Drosophila melanogaster: one gene and its partners. Changing the gene in region 3 together with the main gene of any one other region gives a genetic interaction. Each region holds a gene or a part of one and is shown on either strand. Other genes may lie near its edges.

Region 1 (6,153 bases), 7.5 Mb from region 3:
TGGATAATGCATAAATATTTAGCGGCGCTTTCGGAAGGCAGGCACGTAGTGGCCATGATTGTTATTATCAATTGTTTATACTCGTATGCTTATGTAATTACTAGAGAAAAAATTCTATTGTCGTTTCGGAAATCCGACGCTGAAAAAAGTGTCAAAGCAACACGAACGTTCACTTTTCGCTGTTTTCGCGACAAGCGAAAGTTGAGCACAGAATCCCATTTCGTGTGTTTCACATTGTTATGATAAAACGTGGCCACTTTTGGTGCCCACACAACAAGGCCGTTAGAATTGGAGGCATTTTTTTTTTTGGAAAATGGAGCTCCAAATATCCAAGAAATACGCTGACCTGTAAACCAGTTTTCTGGAAAGAGAACGAACCCCAATGAAATGTTTGATGATTCACAGCGCTCCTCTCTCTATCGCCTTCTATGCCTGCTGTATGTTTGCTGGATTGGGGCATCTTTTCAGATAAGGCTATCGAGAAGTGACTAATCGCTGGCAAACAAACAAATGCGCTGGGAGTTCGAACAGATATGCGTAACATACATATCTCCAATGCGAGATAATCGTGTATTTCTATTTATCCCCCGCATCAATGGAGCCCAGAACTATGGGCTATTAAACGAACTATGACTATCAGTGCGGATTGTTTACCCATTGATAAGACCGTGCAGCTGGACAGAGGGCTCATCTACGGCGTAGAAGCCCCTCTAATGGACGGGAGCAGCGCACACACTTGACCTTCGGGCGGCGATAAAGAAGCCTCTTCGGCGAGTCATTGACACCATCAATCAGCAGCAGCGGCAGCAGCAGCAACAAATGCTGCAAATGCAGCGGCGGCATATGGAAAAGAGGCGCAAAAAAAAGAGGCACAAAAAGGGAGAAAACCTGCCACGGGCCTGGGTTCCTGCTGTGACTAACCTACGACAAGGTAGACACACAGCAACGAAAATCAGCTTACATCGCGCCCTGGCAACAAGAAACCGGAAAATTCGCCAGCCAAAACAAAGGGTTTGGCCTAGGACAGCCAGCCAGCCAGCCATCGAGCCAGTGAGCCAACACAAACACAAACACCTGGAAGGAAGCAAGGCGGCGAAAAAGATCGAATCGCAGCCTGCCAGCAGCCTTTTTCTTGGCCAGAAAAGCCAGCGAATACAAGCAACACGGGTAAGCATCGGATGTCCCCCACAAAGTTCCGCAAAGTCAAAGGGGGCATCGAATATATCATCACTACAAACTGTTGGAATTGTTTTTCTAAGCATTCGGAAGAAAACGAATAAGGAAAGTTGAAATAGTATATATACTATAGGAATGCTAACAATAAATAAGTTCATTCAAGGAAACACAGTGAAAAATGCTAGATTTGCAAAGTATAGTATATAGATTAAATCATATATGCATGTTTATAGCTTTAGAAACCCCCTCCTCACATCATTTTTTAAACTTACTTTGTAATGCTAATCACAACTATATGCAGATTAAATGGGGTCAAAAATATGGTCTTGATAGATTTGAAGTGCAGTTGAGAAATGAAAAAATGTAGAGTAGAATGTACAATATTTCAGTATGTGATGCTTCACAAGGATTTTGTACTGATAGTGGAATATATTTGACTGAATCTTTTCGTTCTAGTAAGAGTATTCGGGCTGCGGTGGCTAATGAGTCGTAATCCTTTCGTGTTGCCTTCTGCGAATGCACCTTTTGAAACTCTTTAGCCAGCTTTTGCGACTGCTGTCTGTTTGGTCGCGATTTAGTAACAAAATCTGTCTGGGGATTGAACCTAGGATGTGGGTTAAGGCAACGACCTGGACGGCGGCAGCTGCATCGCAGCGGATTATGCATGCAGGACCTGCCACGTCCCCCTGTGCACCCCCTTACACCCTTGCGTGCCCCCATTCAGTGTGAAGTCTATGAATAAATGCAGATATTATGATTTGAGGTGGGAATTGATGATTTTGGAACAGCACTCACCTTTAGAATCTGAGTTTTGCGAAAACTCAGCTCGTCGTCAGCCGTCGCAGAGAAATCGTGTTTGGCAATCGCTTCCATTTTGCTGTGTTGTTTTGTGCGCAGTTAGAAAACGCTTTCGGAGTTTGTTTTAAAATTTAGTTGCAATTGTAGTTTTGGATTTAGTTCTATCAGCCTTGATGCACCACACACACGCACACACAGAGGCACAGACACACACGCTCGTTCTCTGCTCTTTCTCTCTAACTCTCTTTGAATTTCTCTCTCACTCACTACTCAGTGCTGTGGAAATGAAAACGAAACGAGACGAATCCGCGATTAGTTAGCGCACATTATATAAACGATAAATCATGGATATTCGGCAGTGCGCTTTTCTCAGTTCGGTTAATAATAATATATCTTGTGCGAAGGCAAGGGAAGAAAGCGATTAAAAATACACCGACGACGACGACATTCCCAGGCGGAGCAGCAACAGAGAATGAACACAGACACGAGCCGCTCTCTCCACGGCGGCCACTGTGTGGGTGTGTGTGCGTGAGCGTGGCAGCGTTGCCAGCAGCTTGCGATTTGGAATTTCGGGGAAAAGCAGGTACCGCAAAAGCAATTAGACGATGTTTGGCTATTACTTGTTGTTATGCGAAGTAATTTGCCTTAAATAATATGAAATGTGTCGCTTAGAACACAATTAACATTTGGCAATCTAGGGCGTGGGTGCTTGCTGTTGGCAATGCTGCCGCGGTGACGTTGTTGTTTGTTTTATTTTTTGTAACCCCAATAAACACACACACACACACACACGCGGCGCTTATATTTCTATATGCGTAAGTTGCGGCTAACTATTTTCGAGTCTCTGGCACGTGCAAAGAGGCCGCCGGGCTTACAATTTCAAAGGGCTAGGGTGGCTGCAAGCTTAAGCGACACTAATTAGGCGCGGGAGCGGTTTGGCTAACATATTACTACTGCTAAATTTGTAATTCACTTTTATTTTCATAGCAGCGTGACCGTGGCCGGGTCGCTTTATTATTCCAAGAAAATATACTGAACACAACACTGTGGGAGAGGCATACCGCAGGGCTTTCGTAGTTTTCCTTCACCTGGTCACACCGCAAGACGCTTCGCCATTTTAAAAATCAAAACAGGAGACGCTTCGCCGGAAAAGTCAGCATTACGTTTCATTCCCAACCGGACACTTCAGTTTGACTCGCCCATCCGTCACAGCAGTCGCCATGCAGCGCCACAAGGAACTGTACAAGGAGCAATCGCTGGTGCTGAGTCCGCGCAATCACTGCCAGGAGAACAGGGATCGGTTGCAGGCGGCGCGCGCCAAAAAACGAGAGGATTGTTTTTATCAGAACCGCATCATCAGCGTGAGCCCGACGCCCGTCAAAATAAAGCAATTGGCGGCGGCCCAAGCTGCTCTGACCCAGGAAAATGTGGCACCCAAACTGGAGAGTCCGGAGCGGCTGGACACGAAGCCCGCAGAACTGCTGAAGGAATCCAACCCGAAGGTCTCCCGCCAGAAGCTCTACTTACAACGCTACATGGAGTGGAAGATAGCCAAGACCAAGGAGCATAAGCAGCAAGACCAGAAACGTCGAGGCGCAGCCATCAATGTGCCGACAGTAAAACAATCAAAGGCCTTGCCCAAATCACAAACATTTCGGGTTCCCGATAATCTGGCTTCTGCAAAGCAGAAGGAGGCGGCTCCCATGTTCCAGCCTCCCAAGCGGTGTTCTCTCTACATGATTGCCAATCCGACGGGCAAGGGAAAAGCCGCAGAACCGATTAAACCTTCAATACCCAAGCCAACGTCAGCAGCAGCTCCTCCGTCATCCAATACCGTGGCTGCATCTTCCGCCTTGGCCAGGCATAAATCAGCTGCTTCTGCAACAAAAATAGTGCCTGCAATTCGTCAGAACAACAATCCAGTGGCCTTGGCCAGGCAAAAAGCAGCTGCACGACCCATTCCCAACACAACGAAGCAAACTACCAGTGTAAGGCAGCCTGGGATTGAAGCGAAAAAGATCACTACCACCATACCCAGACCCACCCCAGCGACAGTCACGAAAGCGAAAACGCCAGGCATACGACAACAGCCACCAGTGGTCAGCACAAAGCCAAGATTACCTGAGCCGCCAGCGCCACGGACAGCTAGACTGCCCAATGTGTTGTCCAAGCCGTTCGAGAAACCTTTAGGAAACAAGGCACCAGTGACACGACGGGCGAATGTCGTGAAACCACAGCCTATACGTGGCGGAGGTGGTGCCGCGGCCAAGTTCAAGGACACAGCTGGAGCGACCAGCAAGGCAGCAAGTCACTCCATACGAATGAAGGCCACCAAGATAAAGAGCCAGTACACGAGGCTTCAGGACAACGTGCGAAAGCTTCCTCAGCTCAAAGCCGAGTTGCTGCACGCAGCCACGCTAGATATACCGCCTCTCACGCCGCTAGACGATATCCATAATCCCTTTATCGACCAGGCCACATCAACGCAGTGCAAGTCGAACAATAGCAGCGGTCATCTTTTGGAGGCGTTTGGCGACACCATCTTGTTGAGCCCGGTGGCACCGGTCAAAGCTGAAGGAGAAAGTTCGGTGAAAAGGCAGTTGCTGCCGGAAGGTAAGAAAGAGGCGTCAGGTCCGGTGGCAAAGAAAAAGTTCGACTTTACGCGTTACTCAGTGGCGAATTCGCCGGCGGAGGACTCGCTCATCTTGGATCCTCAGCAGACGACGGGTGAGTTTGGGATACGCCTTCTCCAATCTTAAACTCAAACTCACATTTTCCTTTCAGTTAAAGAAGACACTGGAGATTCCACTTTGGTGCCAGAGGGTACAAAGACACCGCCACGTCGCGAATCCAATGGAATGCCCAACTATCTCAGTCCGTTTGTTAGTGTCTCGCGGGGAAAGGTGAACTCGCGCTGTGAGAAGGAGAAACGCAATAGCTTCTACCTGTCCAATGAGGAATCGCCCTTGGAAGTTCGCCGTGCCATTGAATCGGTTCTGTACTTCCGACTGCAGCTGGAAAACGAGATCACGCGCCTCCAAGCGCTTTGCGCTGAATGGGAGGCGTACAGCAAGGAGAATGAGGCACGGCTGCAGGAAACGGGCGGCATTGACATGATCAACGTGACCATCGGTCAAACACGTCTGCTGACCACAAAAAAGATGATGCAGTTCAGCGGCCTGATCGATCGTTGCGAGGCTGGAGCGACCGGCAAGAACAGTCAGCCAAACGATGGCAGTGAGGATTCGAAACCGGTGCAGGCTGAGGATCTGGAGGGCTGGTGGGACATGCTGCGCCTGCAGAGCGAGAACGTGGACAAGCGTTTCGATAACCTGAAACGTTGGAAGGCCAACGACTGGCTGGATCCGGATGCCGTGGCCGAGGAACCCAAACAGCCGAAGCCCAAGCCCAAGATAAGTCGCAACATGAAGATCAAATCGAAGGCCAAGCCGAGCAGCAATCTGCAGCAGTTCCTCCGCAAAGCCCATGCCAACATGAAGAAGACCAAGGTGGAGGAGCCAACGCTGGAGGATGGCCTGCCCGCCACGTCCTCGCGCCACAGTTCGCCGCGAGTAATCGTAGTTCGCAACCGCCGATCCTTTTCGCCCGCCCGCACAGTACTCCGCATGTCCACCGGCGAGGGCCGTCAGTCGATTGCGCCAAATGCGCTCCTGAAATCAGCGATTCTTGCGGCCGCCGAGCAGAACGCTGCCAAGACGCCGCCGCCTAAGCCGCGCACCTCCATCCTCAAGACGCCCGGCACCACGAAACGCCAGAACCGTGGCGTGCTCTTCAGCGCCAAGAAGAGCGTACGACGATTCCAGTTCACCTACGAGGAGGGAAACATTAGCAACGACGAGACAGTGGGCGCCGACAAGTTGGAGGACTGCGAGGAGGACATGTCGCTGGAAGCCTCCACGGAAAGCGGATCCCTGGAACAGAATCCGGGAAGGGATTCCAATCAGGAGAATGAAGCAACTCCTCGCACGTACACGCTGCGCAATCGGCGGGTGAATCTGCGTCCCTCCTCCGAGTTTATGTAGTTTTGTCTATTGACAGTAATTGTCCGTTGTGGAATTGTTTATACTTTTATCTTCTTAGTTTAATATTTTTTTGCGGATGCCATTAAGTGTTAATTTATTAAGATGTTGAAAATTACATTTGGCGTTTTAAATGTTC
Region 2 (8,192 bases), on a different chromosome or scaffold from region 3:
CATTTGAAATGGTCGCGTGTAGTCGGTAGTTTGTGGCAACCTCGCTTTTTTTTTGCCGGCCTTTGTGGCGGCTTGATAGCATATCTTGTTGCGCATTTGTCCATGTACCATGGTCAATGTTCTTGCCCCGGCCAGTGTCACCCTGACGTCAGCGTCCTCCTGGGGCCCCCTTCCACACACCCACTCCTCCAAGGCCAAACAAATGGGCGTCCAATGTCGCGTGACGCACAAGGATATCGGGTCCTGTGATTGCCGTCGTTGTTTCGCCTTAGATGAGTTTTCCTATAGCTCGTCTAGCTTTCGCTGTTTGCCGCCCTGTCACGTGTTTGCCCAGCCAATTAGAGTTATAGGCCGATTAAGCAGGAGCAAGAGGAGAAAGTCGCTGAGCTTTCGCAGCTTTCATTTAGCAGGCGCACAAACCGTTCTGATAAAAATATCTGTTGCGATGAAAAAATTACAGGAGCGGCTCGCTTCAGATTGTGGGCAGAAAAAAGGTTCTTGTGATTATATTAATTTGTATCGATTTATTATTTATTTTATCAACTTCAATAAGTTCTTGGTTCGTCAGTGATTCAAAATGTTGGACAGTTCTTAGCTGAATTCACGTACTGGGAGCGTTGACTAGAAGTGCCACATTGTACACTCGTGGGCTAAAACCGGGTGATCTTGTTGTGATCGGGCGAGGGCGGCAGCGAGGACACCGAGGATCGGGAGGGACTCTGCTGGGGTCGAGGTGGAGGACGTTGTGGATTAATGTTGGCATTGGCCTGGCGGAGATTGGCAAAGAACTGCTGGCGACGTGGGCCACCTCCTCGAAGGGGTAACGTGGGAATCTCACTAGGCGACTGGTGGTTCACCTCATCCTGGGAACAATGGCGCATGGCGGGATTCACGCACTCGTAAACACTCTGTAAGAATAGATTTTAAAGTTAATCAGAAAAGTTTCTTGCTAATTTTCTAGGAACCCACCTGTTCCGAGGAGTATTGATTGTTCTGGGCAAAAGCCAGCGAAGTGAGTGAAGGCAGAGCTTGGGCAATATCCGACCGCTCGATACCCCTTACGATGAGGAAGGTGCGTGGTATCAGAATGCCCACCAGTACCGCCCAACCAGAGGCCTGCAATCCCAATGGAATGGCCGCATCCCTCCACTCGTCCCCGAATAAGGATAGCGCTATCCAGGCCACCCAAATTACCATAATTAAAACCGATCCAATGACAATGAGTATTCCCTCGCGATAGTTTCGTTGGGATCTGTATATAGAGGGTATCAAGGCGCCCACACAGCACAGTAGAGCAAAGTCGTAGGCCAACAGTCCCCACAACCATCGACCATAGTAAATATTCTCACAGGACACAGTCTCCGAGGCGACGTGCATCACCACCAGAAGTTGCACGGACATGCCCACTTGGGCCACAACACTAAAGGCGCAAATCACTGCCTGAATATATCCATTCACATGGGATAGGAAGCCACCTTCGGAACCAATTGAAGCCAACATCACGGCGCGACAGAGGAGCAGGGAAAAAACAAAACAGTAGACCAGAGTCATGATGAACACCCTCACCGCGCACAGGGTATTCAGAGTCTGGGCATCCTCGAAGGTCACATGCGAATTGCGCTGCTCACCCACGTATTCAATCGAATAGGGCACAAAGGAGCAAAACACTAAGATGAGGGAGAGTAGAAGGAGAATCGAGGTGGTCGGATTTCCCTCGAAGACATCGCCCAACGAGATGCGCACCACAATGAACACCAGGATGGCGAGCGTGGCAATCAGGCCCAGGATAGCAGCCGTCAGCCCAGTTGCCACCCATGTGTCCATCTTGATGCGCCAGAACATAACGGATTCACCATCGAAAAGGAATGGATATCTCCTATTGTCACCAGCACTGTACTGGCAGTTGAACACCTGACCAAACTTGGTCTTCAGCTCCAAACTGGTGTGATTGTCCCGATTATAGTGATAGTACGTGGTCACATTGGTCACAAAGTTCTGCGACGCAATCTCGCGCAGTTCGGTACGCGATTCACCTGTGATCTTGTCCAGCGTCAACACTTTCTTCTGGTACATCTGAAAGTTCATGGCGGTGCCCAACTTGCGCATCAGCAGCAGCGACAGGATCTCAGCCGTATCATGGGCTTGTCGGTACTCCGAGGTTCGCCAGTCCTCGATGAAGTTCAGGAAGTTGAAACAGCTCTCCAGCACATACAAGTCGTGCTCCTCACCACGCTTACAGTGCTTGGACAGGGATCCGCGCAGCCAGTTCATCAGGTCGATTATGGAGCCGGCAAAGCTCAGGACTCGCGATGGTAACACACTCTTCCCGATCAGGATCTCGTCCAAAGCGGTGGGCGTGGCGTCCAATTCAACGGCGGTGCTCAGGTCAATTTCGTTTTCCATTAGGACAAAAGCTCTGTTTGGTAAGTCTAAAAAGAAAAGAAGAAATTAATGCGTAAGTAAAATGTATCAGTCTTAATCCTTAACTTAAACAATAAATCAAAAGGACCCACAACTTTAGTAATCCTGTTCGTTGTAGTTATTACCCACCTGCCAGAAATTCATCGTCCGTTCTATCGGTGGGCACGGAAAACAGAGTGCCGTTTTCCTTGAAGTGACTAGCTAGCTTATTGCCAAACATTATGTAAACATTATCGTCACTTTTGAAGTGCATGAGGCACATGTGCTCCTGGCGAGCGGCTTCCATGAATTCATTGTACATCTCCAGCGTTTCGGTTGCTATTTCCACGGATGCGATTTTTTCGCCCCAAGGCATTTGATGCAGCAAGTGCGCAACTTTGGGAAAGAGGTGCGCCCGCGTTCCCGGTATTGGCCAGATATTGTATTCCAAGTCCTTGATAACAGACTCCAGTTGTTTGTACAGCTCCCAGTCAACGAATATGCCCATCGAGTACGTCGTGCACTGCTGCAGAAACTGAACTTCTTGAATAAGCAAGTTCTCTGCCAAGCTGGCGTTGTCGATGCTGATGGCGCGAATTCCTGGAATTCAATAAGAAGGATTTGATTTAGGTGCATATAAATAGCGGAATTTTACAAACCAATTTCAAAGTCTGCCATTATAAGATTCGCCTGGTTCACACGATTGATTACGAACAACGCGGAGTCGGGGTCCTTGGTCAAGACACTGAGCACCACATCTCCTTCGAGTATCTTGACAAACTCCTCCTGCTTCCGTATAACCGTTCCCTCATCCGCACTATTGACCGTCAACTGCAGACCATTGAGACATATTTCCGGCACTAAGCTGGCAGTTGTTCCACTGCTGGGTCCCTCGGTTGTGGATGAGATGAGCGGGGCCAGCTGACCATCGACGGAGCTGGAGACTTCATCATCGGTGGTTGATGCCACCGTTGTTGGGGCCCTTGTGGTAATACTGATGGGCTTGGCCTGCTGACTTGTGGGCTGTGGTTTGGTTATTCGAAGGGGAGCGGACTTCTTGGTGGGTGATGTCAGGTCAGCTCCATGGCACTCCAAGACGCAGAACACAGTGACTAGGATGCATAGAAGAGCTGCAGAGGACAACAATGAATTAAATCTTATTCGTATAAGATGGAAAATATCGTCGTCCTTAAATTTAAAGTAACTTTGTTCTGGTTAGCATGGTTGATTGACTAGTTAATTGATTGAATTACTCAATAAAGGAATTCACTTAAACCATATTTGCAATGGAATTTTCTACACAAACTCAAGCTTGAATGGCATTTTGAGAAAAATACAGGTCTTGAAATATTCCCGGAAAAAGAAATCCCCTCAAGTTGCCATTCATTCCATTGCACTTCACTTCTGCCTTACGACATTTACTCAGCACTCACCCACTGGTAATGGCTTTCTCCGTCCAGATTGCAAAGCGTCCATGACCTTCATTTCTAAAGTTTTAAAGGTTTTACAATTAAATACAAAAAATGTCCGTTGATAATTAAGCAATGCAGCAGTCTTTCCTTCAACATGTACTGATAATTGATATCATTTTATTTTTATTTTGATAGCTAGAAGGAAGAAAGAAAATGGTAAGTTGGATATTAGCCAGTGTGCAGAATTGTATTTTTTATTTTTTGCCGGCCACTTCAACCATTTTGCCGACTGCGTGGAGAGTGCTGCACTTTAATCGCATTAAAAATTGTCACACTAACACAGACTTTGTTGGCTTGGCATAGTTTCCACTTTTCCATGTCTGTTTCTTCGTGATTTTGCCCACTATCAGTGCAAAGTAATACGGTGGAAAAAATTTCTGTTTCGCATATTCTCTCACTTCGGGAAAATCAATAGAGGTTTTTTGTGGAAGCCGAATTCTGGAATTTATGGCACTGCACACACTTATTGCACAGATTCACGCACTAGACCCACTGACAGTCAGAGCCACAATAGTTTTGGGCAACAGCAATTGGCAAAAAAAAAAAACAAAGAAAAAACAACAAGGGAACACAAATTGAACGCCTCAGTGATTTTAGGGTCAATTAAACGTTTCTCGTTTTATATTTGTCCAGTGATGTACGCAGCACTCAAACCGTACATATATATTTATTGTTGGCCCACGAACAACCAATTTGATTTGGTAAGCCCCTGTGTTAACGGGTGCAGCATTGCAGTTGCCCGCACAATGCAATTATGTTCTATTCGATTTTTTTTTTGTCTCTATTTCAGTTTATTTTATTTTAGTTTTTCCGTTTTCGAACCCACCCCCTGGAAAACCGAAGGCGGAACACTGATGTGGCAATGTTTTGCACCTGTTTTGGCCGTTTTGTTTTGACTAACTTGGCTGAGGCCCGGCACTCGCTGGTTGTTATGGTTATTGGCTCAAACAGTCACTCACGAAATTGAGTGCTTTCCACGTCGAGTGTACAATTTCCCATAATTATACAAATAAATATGTACACCCCGAAGCCAGTTCAAATATTGGTCATTGCAATTAGCCAACTTGCTGGGCAAAAGGGTTTCGGGTTTCAGGGTGGAATAGGGTGGCCTGTCAAAGGTGCCGATCAGTAATTGCAATTTGGCCAGTCTTACAGTTCGGCACTTGTGGATAGCTTGCACAATGTTTGCTATCCTCGTTGGTTTATCAAAATGTTTTATTTTATTTTATGGCTATCCAATGCAAACTGTTCAGTGGAATATCCTTGAAAACAGAACCGACACTCGTGCCTTGGGCTTTGACATTCGTATGGCACTTTTCCGGGTTTTGGGGCTTTGCATAACACTTTTAATTCACGTCAAACGCAACATCAGTTGAAAAGTAAGCATTTTCATTTGGCCACGTTGCATAAGTTTAATTTAGAGCTCAATTCCTTTAGGGGGTTTAACTTTAATTGCCCAAAAAGCAACTATATGGCCTTATTAAGCTGTTTGGCTTTTTATTTAAATACTCATTTTACTTTGAATAGACGCACCAATATCTTACCGACGGACCACGTCCACGTTTAAACTGTTTTGGCCAACTGAACTAGCGGAAGAACTTGCAGAGCCGCGACACTCGTAAGCCCATAAAAATGCAGCTGCAGGTTAGGGCTAGTGGGGGTGGTCTTAGGCCTTATTTTCCACTCGACTCAGTTTTACCCGGTTGCCGGATGGGGGTGATGCCTTGTTTTGGCCAGCTCAGTTGATTCTTGCTTTGCAGTCAATATAATATGCACTTATTAGTGACACCAATGGGCATTACTCAGCGAGAATCGGGATTGCCAAGGGCCAAATAGGTCAGTTTTATGCTCAATGTAAGCTGTTCACATAACATAAATAAGAATATGAAAGCCAGTTTTAAATTTTGAACATAGTTTAATTGTGATCCTAAAAATGAATTAAATGAATACATGTACGCCAGGTACGATAAGTTATAGTTAATTTGTCGAAACATTTGATCCAATTTTTTTTGGCTTTACATTATCAGAAATAATTTAGGTCATGCCAAAAGTAATATTTAAATAAGTATTAAGGCGATTTCTAGGAATGGGTTCCCCTTCAGTTTGAATGCTCCTTTATCTTCACTCCAGTGGCTTTACTGACCATCTCCGGCGCCTTGGTTGGCTCCCCTTCGATTTAATTTGCGGTTGGGCCGGCTCGTAGTTGCTCCACTTGGATACTTGAGGCCACAGTCATCGTCCTCGCTGCCGGTCGAGATGTCCGAGGAGAGCTGGAAGTCATCCACTTCGGTGTAGGTCTCATCCGTACTATCGTTGGGCGTTTCGATCTCCGTGTCGTCAACCTTTTTATTTTTCTGACTACCTGCGAGGGTCCTAGAGCTCATGGCTGCTGGCTGACAAAGTCCACCGTTTGAATTTTTCTTGGGTATCAAGATGTCCTCGAGACTGGGCAGTTCAGCCGACATCTGACCATTCATATCCTTCACCTGATTGCAGTAGCGCTGGATATTATCCAGGACTTCTTGCACGCCCACATCAGATGATTTTACAACTAAACTTTGCTCCGATGACGACTTTTGTGCAGCAAGAACTGGCTGCTGAGCTTTGCAGATGCTACGATAGGCACTGGAGTTCATTAGGGACTCGTTATGGTCTTTTTTGGCGCTAATAGGCATTTTGCTTTGATTCCTAATCACTTTTCCTGGTTGTTGTTTTAAACTATGCGACGGTTTCTGTGTCAGATTCTGACTGACTGAGGCCGCTGCTTCTAAGTTCGCCTTCGAAAGACTCAGCATTTCCTGAGTGGGCTTTCCATTCATCAGCGATTGATGCTGGTAAAACATTTTATCGTACTCGGATTTCATGCACAAGTACCGAAAGTGTCGCGAATTTTCCTCACCGAAGTAAATTACCTCTGCAGATGCCAAAAAATAGTTACATATTATAAATACCAAATAAACACTGAAAGTAAATAAACTCACTGCTAATGACTTGTTCCTGCAGCTTATCCAGGTTATCGTTTGTCTGCTTCAACTCGCCCGAGAACCTTTCGATTTTGTGGCTCAGATCGCGAAAGTTCTTTGCCAGAGCATCGGATATGGTGTTCTAAAGAAAGTGCATAGTGTATTAACTAATCAACTAAGGAACTTATGCGAAACTCACGCCAACGGCCGTTTTGACAGTCTGGCGGATCAGGTCAAAGAACTCCTCAGGATCTTCCTCCTTATCTTCATCGTCATCGGCGGTACTCACGTGCACCTTGCTCGCCGGAACAGGCTGTCGCCCACGCATCTGCTTCTGATGCGGATGCGGATGCTGATGCTGATGCTGATGCGGTTGCGAATGCTGGAGGCGCTGCTGTTGCTGATGCTTGAGGTGGTTGTGAGTAGTCATCTGCTGCTGCTGGTGCAGCTGGTGTTGCGGCGGATGCTGCATTGCTCCGGATTGCAACTGCATTTGCATTTGATGGGCATGAGAGTGCGGATTGTGCCGGCGCATATTTCCCATGTTTCCCTGCTGGGGCACCATTAGTTCCTTATCGGAGTAGTCGTCGTTGTCATCCATTGGATAGTCGTTCCTCTGGGTATTGCCCTTTTCGCGGTGCTTCATTCGGTATGTCTCCTTCGACTTGGACATGCCATAGCCATTAGGGTTTACCGTGCCTTCGGCCGGGCTAAAATGCGGCACCTTGTTCATCGGCGCCTGACGAGCACTGGCCTTATTGGCCATTTGGTTTCGCCTCGAGGGCATGGCGTTATATGGAGATGGCTGGACATGGCCGGGAATCATTTGCGATATTGATGGCTGCGCCATCGAACCGGGGGCATTTCGCAGATTGGCCGCCGTCAACGGCAGATTGGTGGTGATGTAGTAATCATTTTCGGTGACAAAACTGCGCTGAGTGCGAGCATCGACTTGTCGGGAGCTAATGGTTCCTCCACCGCCAGTTGCACCGCCTGGACCCGATCTCTCAGCCCTTGCTGTTTTCTTGGTCACACCTGCATGGGATATCGCTACCGACTTTACCGGATGCAAGGAATCCATTTTGGAACCATAGACCTCCTCGATTCCCTTGCGACGAATTGGGCGCACCATCTTCATCCAAAGGCTCTTTACTCACCGAAACAAACTTTCGTTGGCCTCGAGTTGCACCAATAAACGCAAAAGCACAATAATGTATAAACTGTATTTGATATATTTTACATCTATTTATGTTCTTTGGATGATTTAGCTAAAATGAATGAGGGATATAGAAAGATAGTGAATGTTATAACACCAGCCTACTGGATAGATAGATTGGATAAATATTACTCGTGTGAA
Region 3 (7,217 bases):
GTAACGGGGAAAAAATCTTCCATTGCGTATATATTGTATGCAGCATGCGATGGAATTGATCGTCAGATCACGCGGTTATTTACTTGACGACCCTTGCGAGATCCGTAGAAAAATTCTGTGCAGTGTCTGAAGCTGTCTTTCAGCTGATCATTTAGTTTTAGTTATTTGTATGCACAGCAAAGATAATATTGTCCATCTCCCCTTTAAGGTTAACTCTCTTTTCTCGAAGGAAAGGCAACAGATTGATGCTGAGCCGACAAAATGAACTCTTGAGACAAAGTGGTCAAGTCATCGATTCAAACCAATGGATGTCATGATGCTGGACATCGTGCAGACAAATCACTTTCGATCTTGCTATCTACAAGTGCGCTTGTTCTGAATTGTAGGTATATTGTCGCAATACTGTCAGAATGCGCAAATGTCAATGTCAACAGAAAAACGCAAAACAAACTGAGGAAAAAGGTACCTTAAGTGATTCAACAACAAGATATCAGAAAGTCGCAGAGTTTTTGCCAGTATTAAGTAAATTAAGACCACCTTTTCTTAGTTGAACTTCAAACAGACATCAAGCATTGGGGTTTACTATATAAACCCATGGCGTACTTCTTTTTCGTATCCACGAAATATGTGTGCACGTATATTCTTAATCATCACCACTATACGAGCCTTTACTCTGTGAACTTTACTCTTTTTTTTATGTTTCATACACTTAAAATTTTTTTTTTTAGATATATACAAAATATATCCTTTTTTAAAGAAAGAAATTTCCATTGTCTTCGATTAAATGCGCAACAGATGTGAGATGCAGATTCTTGTGAAAACCTGCTAAGTAAAAGTTTATTTTAAATCGTACACATCCCTACGCGAATGCCCATGCCGAAAAACTTTAAGGATTCTCATTAATAATCAATTAAATGAACTCTAAACCTTCGTGAATATTACATGCAATCCGTTTGCAATTTGCTAACAAAGTAAGGGATAGCAGACATTCAAGTCACTTAACTAACAAACGATGACTCCAACACTTTAATACTCTTGTTTCTTAAACAATAAACTTCACATTTATGTGTGCTATATATCTGATATCAACAATATCTAAACAATAACTTTAAAATAAAACAGCTGATTTAACGATAAACACCAACAATAACCATAACAGCAACGACGTTGTATAAAACCAGTTGAACCCGTCTTGTTTTCGAAAGGCTATTGAAAGCTCTGATGCATATAGTAATCTATATCTTTTAGCAGTTTTTGTCACGAGTCGGACGTCAAGGACTAATACTGTCGTGTACCAAGAAATTATATTTTTATTCCTGTAGTTGAAGATAAAAAGCGGAAATTAGATTCGTTGAAAAGTATATATAAAATGTATATATATATATATATTCTTGATCGAAACATATCCGGGAACATTTTGCTTTATTGAAACAATTTTAAAACCCTGTACCTTTTACAGTCAACATCTAGCGAATTAGACAGCCGTAGGTGGACTTCAGAGGAATCGGTATATGATATTTTAAAAATATCTTTAAAATGTTTTAAAAACATTAGTAGAAAATCGTTGTGTTTTACAATATTTTACACATTCTTACATACGTTAAGTTGTACAAAAAGACCAAAATTGTTCGAGTGTTTTAAAGATTTGTATAGTTTTTGTTACTAACCGAGTATGAACAAAAAGACTACGGTGCGTTTATCCCTGAATAAAAGCTCAACTCACACCGAACTTGTTGACTGACCTATGGTAACCGATTCGAAGCATGGTCATTACAAAATATCGCTCGATGTGTTTTCGGTTGCTTGTGTGGGAGTTTTTTTTTTTTACGGTAACGCGTGCCAAGAAAACTGAACAAGACGAACATAATAACGGGTATAATGAGCTGCAGAGCGAGTGGAATGGAGTGCGATTGGCGAAGTCTTTGTTGTCGTTGTTTCTGAAAGGTAACAATTGCACTCAAAGGTACTACGACCCAAATTGAACCGGTTTAACGTTTTTTATGTTTGTCTGCTTTTTTGTTATTTCCTTCTAGTGCGCCAATCCACAACTAGTAAACCTCGAAAATCAAACACTAACTCTTTCTGTTGCCATTCGACATGATGGTTTTCAGCCAAATCTGTGAGCGAGTCTACGTTGCGTAGCCAAAAAAAAGTGAATCATTGCAAGAGAGCGATAGGAATTAAGAAGCTGTGTGATGCCGTCTAATTTATAGCTTTTGTGCGTACTTTCTCCGTGACTCCAAAAAAATTTAATGCAAATAACATTGTGATTCGCTTGCTGCGCTCCATTAATGTGGAAATCAAAAGTAAGCTATTTGGCCAGCAAAAACATAGCCATTGACCGACAACCTCAACCAACACAACAAAACTTATGGTAAAAAAAAGTTTGGCTTTGATTTTATGACCGTGATTTAGGTCATTGCACAATGGTGACGAGACTTAGTTCCCTTCCACTCATGGAATTCGAATTTATTCGATATGTCGAACTTTTCATATATATTAATATCCGCGACATTCGTGTACTTAATTTAATAAAAAAATTGTTTTTTTAAGAGAGAAACTAAAAGAAATTGAACGTCCTTCACATTCATCAAATATTTTGTGGCGCCAACACTCTTAAAAAAACAAGAGAAAACACCAAAGCGAGTTCTTTGACTAACAAATACCCGTTACTCAAAAAAGAGAAGTGCAAGGACGACGCAAATATTCCAGTAGGAACGTGACTCCGAGATTGCACATATATGCTTTAAAAACCACATTTATTTTATTCCCTTACTGTATTTATTTATTCTAACTGAAAACAAAGTATCGTCAGCGTATGTATAAGAGGTTTTTGGGAAAGTGCACGGTCCACAGTTAATAGCTTAAGTGGCAGGAGCTGAAGAGAGAACCAATGAACTGAAAGGAGTAATTCGAAGGGATCACAATCAGAGGTTACAGCTCGGAATGCCAACAACAAAGAGCGGACCACGAAGCCAGCTACCATAAACAATGAGCTTTTTTGCCTCTCTTTAGCTCATCTGGAGCTCCACACTCAATACCATGAAAGCAATTTTCATGTGTTTTTCAACTGAATATTTTGTATCTGTATCTTTATCTTTTTTCTGCTACCACTGCTGTTGTTAAGCGACTCCGACTGACAGGCATGACTCATGACGCAGGAAATTTACGACCACGGCACAGTGCAGCAAGAGAAGGCTGAAAAGCGATATAAAAGAAGGCCCTAAACTCCGCTAATTCCAAGCCTGAGAGCCAACTTAAATCTTAGCCTAAACGCAAAGAATATGTGCGAAATGGCGCAGTTTGCCCAAGTCACGTAAGTCGAAATTGATATGATTTCTGAGGCCTGGTATGGTGTCTGAAAAAAAAAAACGCCGTGGAAGTGCACAGCAGTGTATAAGAAAGTTCATGTGCACGGAACTGAGCGCTTTAGCACTTACAAAAATGTATCACCCGTTTGGCAAGCCAGTTGTGCATTTTAGCACATAGTAAACGATAAAGTTCGCAACAACTTGAGGACGACTTTGTGGGCTGTCAGGCATTGCATAACCAGATTCGCAGGAATTCTCTTACGAAATAAGCTCGACTTTGTATTCCGCACGGAATACACCGTTCTAATTCCAGCGGCATGCGCCGAGGCAAAGAAAATATGTTTGCATGACCAGCGAAACACACGCGAAACAGTAAAGAAAATAGAAAGTTCTGTTCCCATCTTTTTCTGAGTTCGGATCCACCAGAGGAATGTTCCGCACACTGCAGCTTCCCTGGGCTTGTACCTTTTCCAGTTTTGCTGCTACTGCTGCTCTTGTTACCACTTATCCATATCAAAGTGGGGTTTTACTTGAGGCACTTTTGAACAAAGAAAACACTGACTGTTAGAAGTATGCCAACAACACAAACAGGTCGCGCATGCGCCGCACAGTGCATCTAGTGGCTCTGTGGTGGCTTGTGGATAATAGATTATATAGATTTCATCGGCCCGTGAACGAAAAAACTTGTAAGCGCGGTAGGCGAGCTTTGGCCAAATTCGATTAAGGCATTTAACTCAGATTCGGATTCGATTTCCTATGTGCTGCGTGTACGGGCGCTATTCCGATTTCCGAGCCGTTTTCGTGCGGCTTCCGTTTACACGTCCGTTTTGTGCACCGCTTCGCAGACAACTGATACGTTTATGAAATTTTTATAGAAAGGTTTTAACCGCTTGCCACCGCACCGACACACTCGCACCCGCCGCCTTGGCATCTATGTGTGTGCCATTTGAGCCAAGCTCGCTGCCCGCGTGTTGGCCAACCGTTCCCGCTCTCTCGCTCTTCGATCCATCTTTGTGTGCTTAGTCTCTTTTATCTTGGCCCAGAAGTCCAATGGCTCGTCGAAGAGTGGTCTCGCTCTTCGTCTCCAAGTGCCTCTCTCTTAAGATGCTCCGAGATAAACTGCACAGTTTTGTAATTACGACAACAATTAGTCACAAAGTGCGTTGATTGCAAAGATCAAATCGAGTTGAAAACAATTAACTCGTCGCTGTTACTGACAAAATGTCAGGTTGTATTAATTTGTTCACGTAACCAAAATAACTCAGCACTGTCGCGTCACTGGAAATCAAATTATTTGTTTCTAAATGTCTCCGCTTGGGTTCTTGTGAACGCCATTGAACTCGTCATTGATAAGGTATGCTATGGAACATTGCTGAAATAGAAAATATTAGAGTCTACATCGTGGGAATACTAATGGCTAGTATCCAATCCAGAAGGGACTCGCAGTGGGGACTCGCGCCTGGACATACCATTTAATATTAAGAATATATTAACGAATACCTGGGGATATTTTGCGAAAAGTCGGAGGGCAAAATCTATAAACATAGTCGTTAGTCACTTTGATTTAACACTTGACCAAATATGAGTGTTCCTGAGCTCCCTTATGTAAATAGAAATTCATGTGCACATATAAACACATGTGTTTACGTCGATGGCTCAGATTCTCCGTTTCCCTGACCACAAAACCCTTAAATACTGAAATATTGGGACTTACCTGGAAATAAAAAGTAAACAGAAAGTGTTAAATGTTAACTTTAACGGGTTGTGTAATGCAAAATAAATAAATAAAAGGACACTTTTATAAAAACGTTAGGCAGTATGGCCAATATCACTGAAGTATACGGTTATCTAACTTAGCAGTATATTCTTTTTTCATTTTAAATTAACTTTTACAATATTACAGCACAAAGTCACAGCTTACAGGTCGTATAACTGAAATCAAATCTAGCCACACACCAAACTGTATCGACAAAATGCGATTTCGTCTCCTTCTACTGTCCTAATCTGATTGAAATGTGTGTATTTACCTCTACGTAAATTACGAGTCAATTAATGCCCAGCCAGACTAGGTGAATATTTGCTTCCTGTGCAATTTTACGCTAATTCAAATTCCTATAACATCAACACGTTCACCGTTAGTATATGTAGTCTTTATCGGACGTATCAGCTAAAAATTAACACTATATCACTGAGTCAATTAAAATGTAGTCGTTCGACCTTCCTGGAGAGCGACGACCGAGTCTGTTGTCACTTATGTTTTTTTTTAGCTACTGACAAATTATTAAAACAATTGCCTTCTATTGAGTATTATTGACTTGCCACAAACTCGAATGATTTGTCTACACACACACACACTTCACCTGAGCCGAAAGAAGAACGCTCAACTAAATCGGAACTTCACCACGCATGAACACAGGGAAATATGAATAAATGCCGACACGGCTCTTGCATGTGGCTCTCTAAAACAATTGCCTTCTCTTCGTGGGTTCAACGACATTTTCTGATGTCATGTTCAATAACAATTGCAGCCTATAGTGGCAACGGGAGTAAAATAAAGGATGGCTTGAATTATTAATGAATAATGAATACGGAGGTTCAAAAAATACTAAATTCGCTGCATATGAGCTGAAATTATAATTATTTGGAAAATCGGACCCATTTATTTGCAAACTGTGGTATCATAACTTTTCTTTAATTGTTAAAATATTTATTTGAGTCTTCTCAAATCGCTCTCAACAATCATATTATTGAACATTTTAATTAACCGAAACTCAATATGCGTATACAGAATAATGCTCCTCTGACATTGGAACTAGCCAAAAACGAAAAACTCATAAATCGATCATTTTCACTGTGGCAATTTGACGCTAACAACAAACAAGAGAGCAGCAGAGCGGATCTGCGTTGAGCTTCATAGCGTCAGGTGCGGTCTTCCGTGTCGGAAGACGAGGCAAATTAAATGCAAAAAAAAACGCACGAGAATCCAAACGTCATATGACAGATACTGCTTTTTAAAGCAACAAGTGACTCAAAATCAAAGTTGTTCCATTATAAATTTTAAATTCGAGTTAGGCTTGAGTTCAATTGCTACGCCTGGCGATTGCTTAATGCTCAAAGCAAAAAAAAAAATATATTTGTGTATTTAAGTGAGTTTGCTGATTTTGATGTGCTTCTCTTTGCGAGTGATTTACGATCTGAACTGGGAACGAATAAAAATTGGTTTTATGGATTTCGGTGTTTGTGGGTGGCTCTAATTTAGACGTTTTTATTATTGGCGACGTTTAAAGCTACGTAATAGTCAATTTAAGATGTTCGGTTCAACCATTTAGCACTTTGTCAAATAGCTCGACTCGCTCGGACTTTCCCATTGACGGAAGTCAAGTTAAGCAAGAAGAGCGCATAAGCAAGAAGTTAATTCACCGAGTGTCCAGGTATTTCCCCTGAAAAATTCACTTGAATTAAATCAAGAGCTGGCCTCGTCGTCTCTGCCGTATTCTGTGTAAACGCTTTAAAATCATCGGTGATCATTGACGTCACTGCGTTTTAACCACCATAAAGACACAATCCCCTGCACCTTCCTGCTCACTCTTTCAACTTATTTCTCTTTGACCCACATTCAAAGCTGAACAGAAATACTCTCGAGAAGATTGGTTAGCGCCTTCCGATGGAAAAACTGTGGGGCTTTAACATTCGTGTGGCAATCGGGGAGATTTCATTAGTACAGAAAATCATAAATATTCATTTACGCATGGGAAAGTTTTTTTCACTGGCGTGATAACACGGAAACTAATATTTTTCAAAACTTGTATAAATTATGGTTTAATCGGATTTAAAAAACAAAAACAAATCGAGAATTAAAGATTTCTTTCATAAGCCAAACTCCGAAGTTACAAGTTGCCAAAATAT

Evidence for each region. Genes that interact genetically often act in the same process or in processes that back each other up.
Region 1: of Src42A (region 3) and drk, changing one suppresses a phenotype caused by changing the other (phenotypic suppression), as found in Drosophila melanogaster (2 studies listed by BioGRID).
Region 2: of Src42A (region 3) and boss, changing one suppresses a phenotype caused by changing the other (phenotypic suppression), as found in Drosophila melanogaster (one study listed by BioGRID).

The regions. Positions count from the first base shown.
Region 1 is NT_033778.4:13,499,842-13,505,994, forward strand, and holds the start of drk (downstream of receptor kinase), read right to left. Parts: upstream 3,001-6,153; 5' UTR 2,850-3,000; exon of another isoform or gene 2,084-2,849; 5' UTR 2,050-2,083; coding exon 1,972-2,049; exon of another isoform or gene 1,633-1,971; intron 1,168-1,632; exon of another isoform or gene 780-1,167; intron 1-779. Other genes in the region: mars, read left to right, coding at 3,195-4,701, 4,759-6,017.
Region 2 is NT_033777.3:25,959,257-25,967,448, reverse strand, and holds boss (bride of sevenless), read right to left. Parts: upstream 5,456-8,192; 5' UTR 5,406-5,455; intron 4,008-5,405; 5' UTR 3,886-4,007; coding exon 3,834-3,885; intron 3,531-3,833; coding exon 3,060-3,530; intron 3,001-3,059; coding exon 2,551-3,000; intron 2,430-2,550; coding exon 970-2,429; intron 909-969; coding exon 651-908; 3' UTR 501-650; downstream 1-500. Other genes in the region: CG14540 (uncharacterized protein), read right to left, coding at 6,008-6,786, 6,854-6,977, 7,035-7,973. UniProt on the Drosophila melanogaster protein: Acts as a ligand for sevenless tyrosine-kinase receptor during eye development.
Region 3 is NT_033778.4:5,989,937-5,997,153, reverse strand, and holds the start of Src42A (Src oncogene at 42A), read right to left. Parts: upstream 4,163-7,217; 5' UTR 3,777-4,162; intron 1-3,776. UniProt on the Drosophila melanogaster protein: Required directly or indirectly for the phosphorylation of drpr which is necessary for the interaction of drpr with shark and subsequent glial phagocytic activity.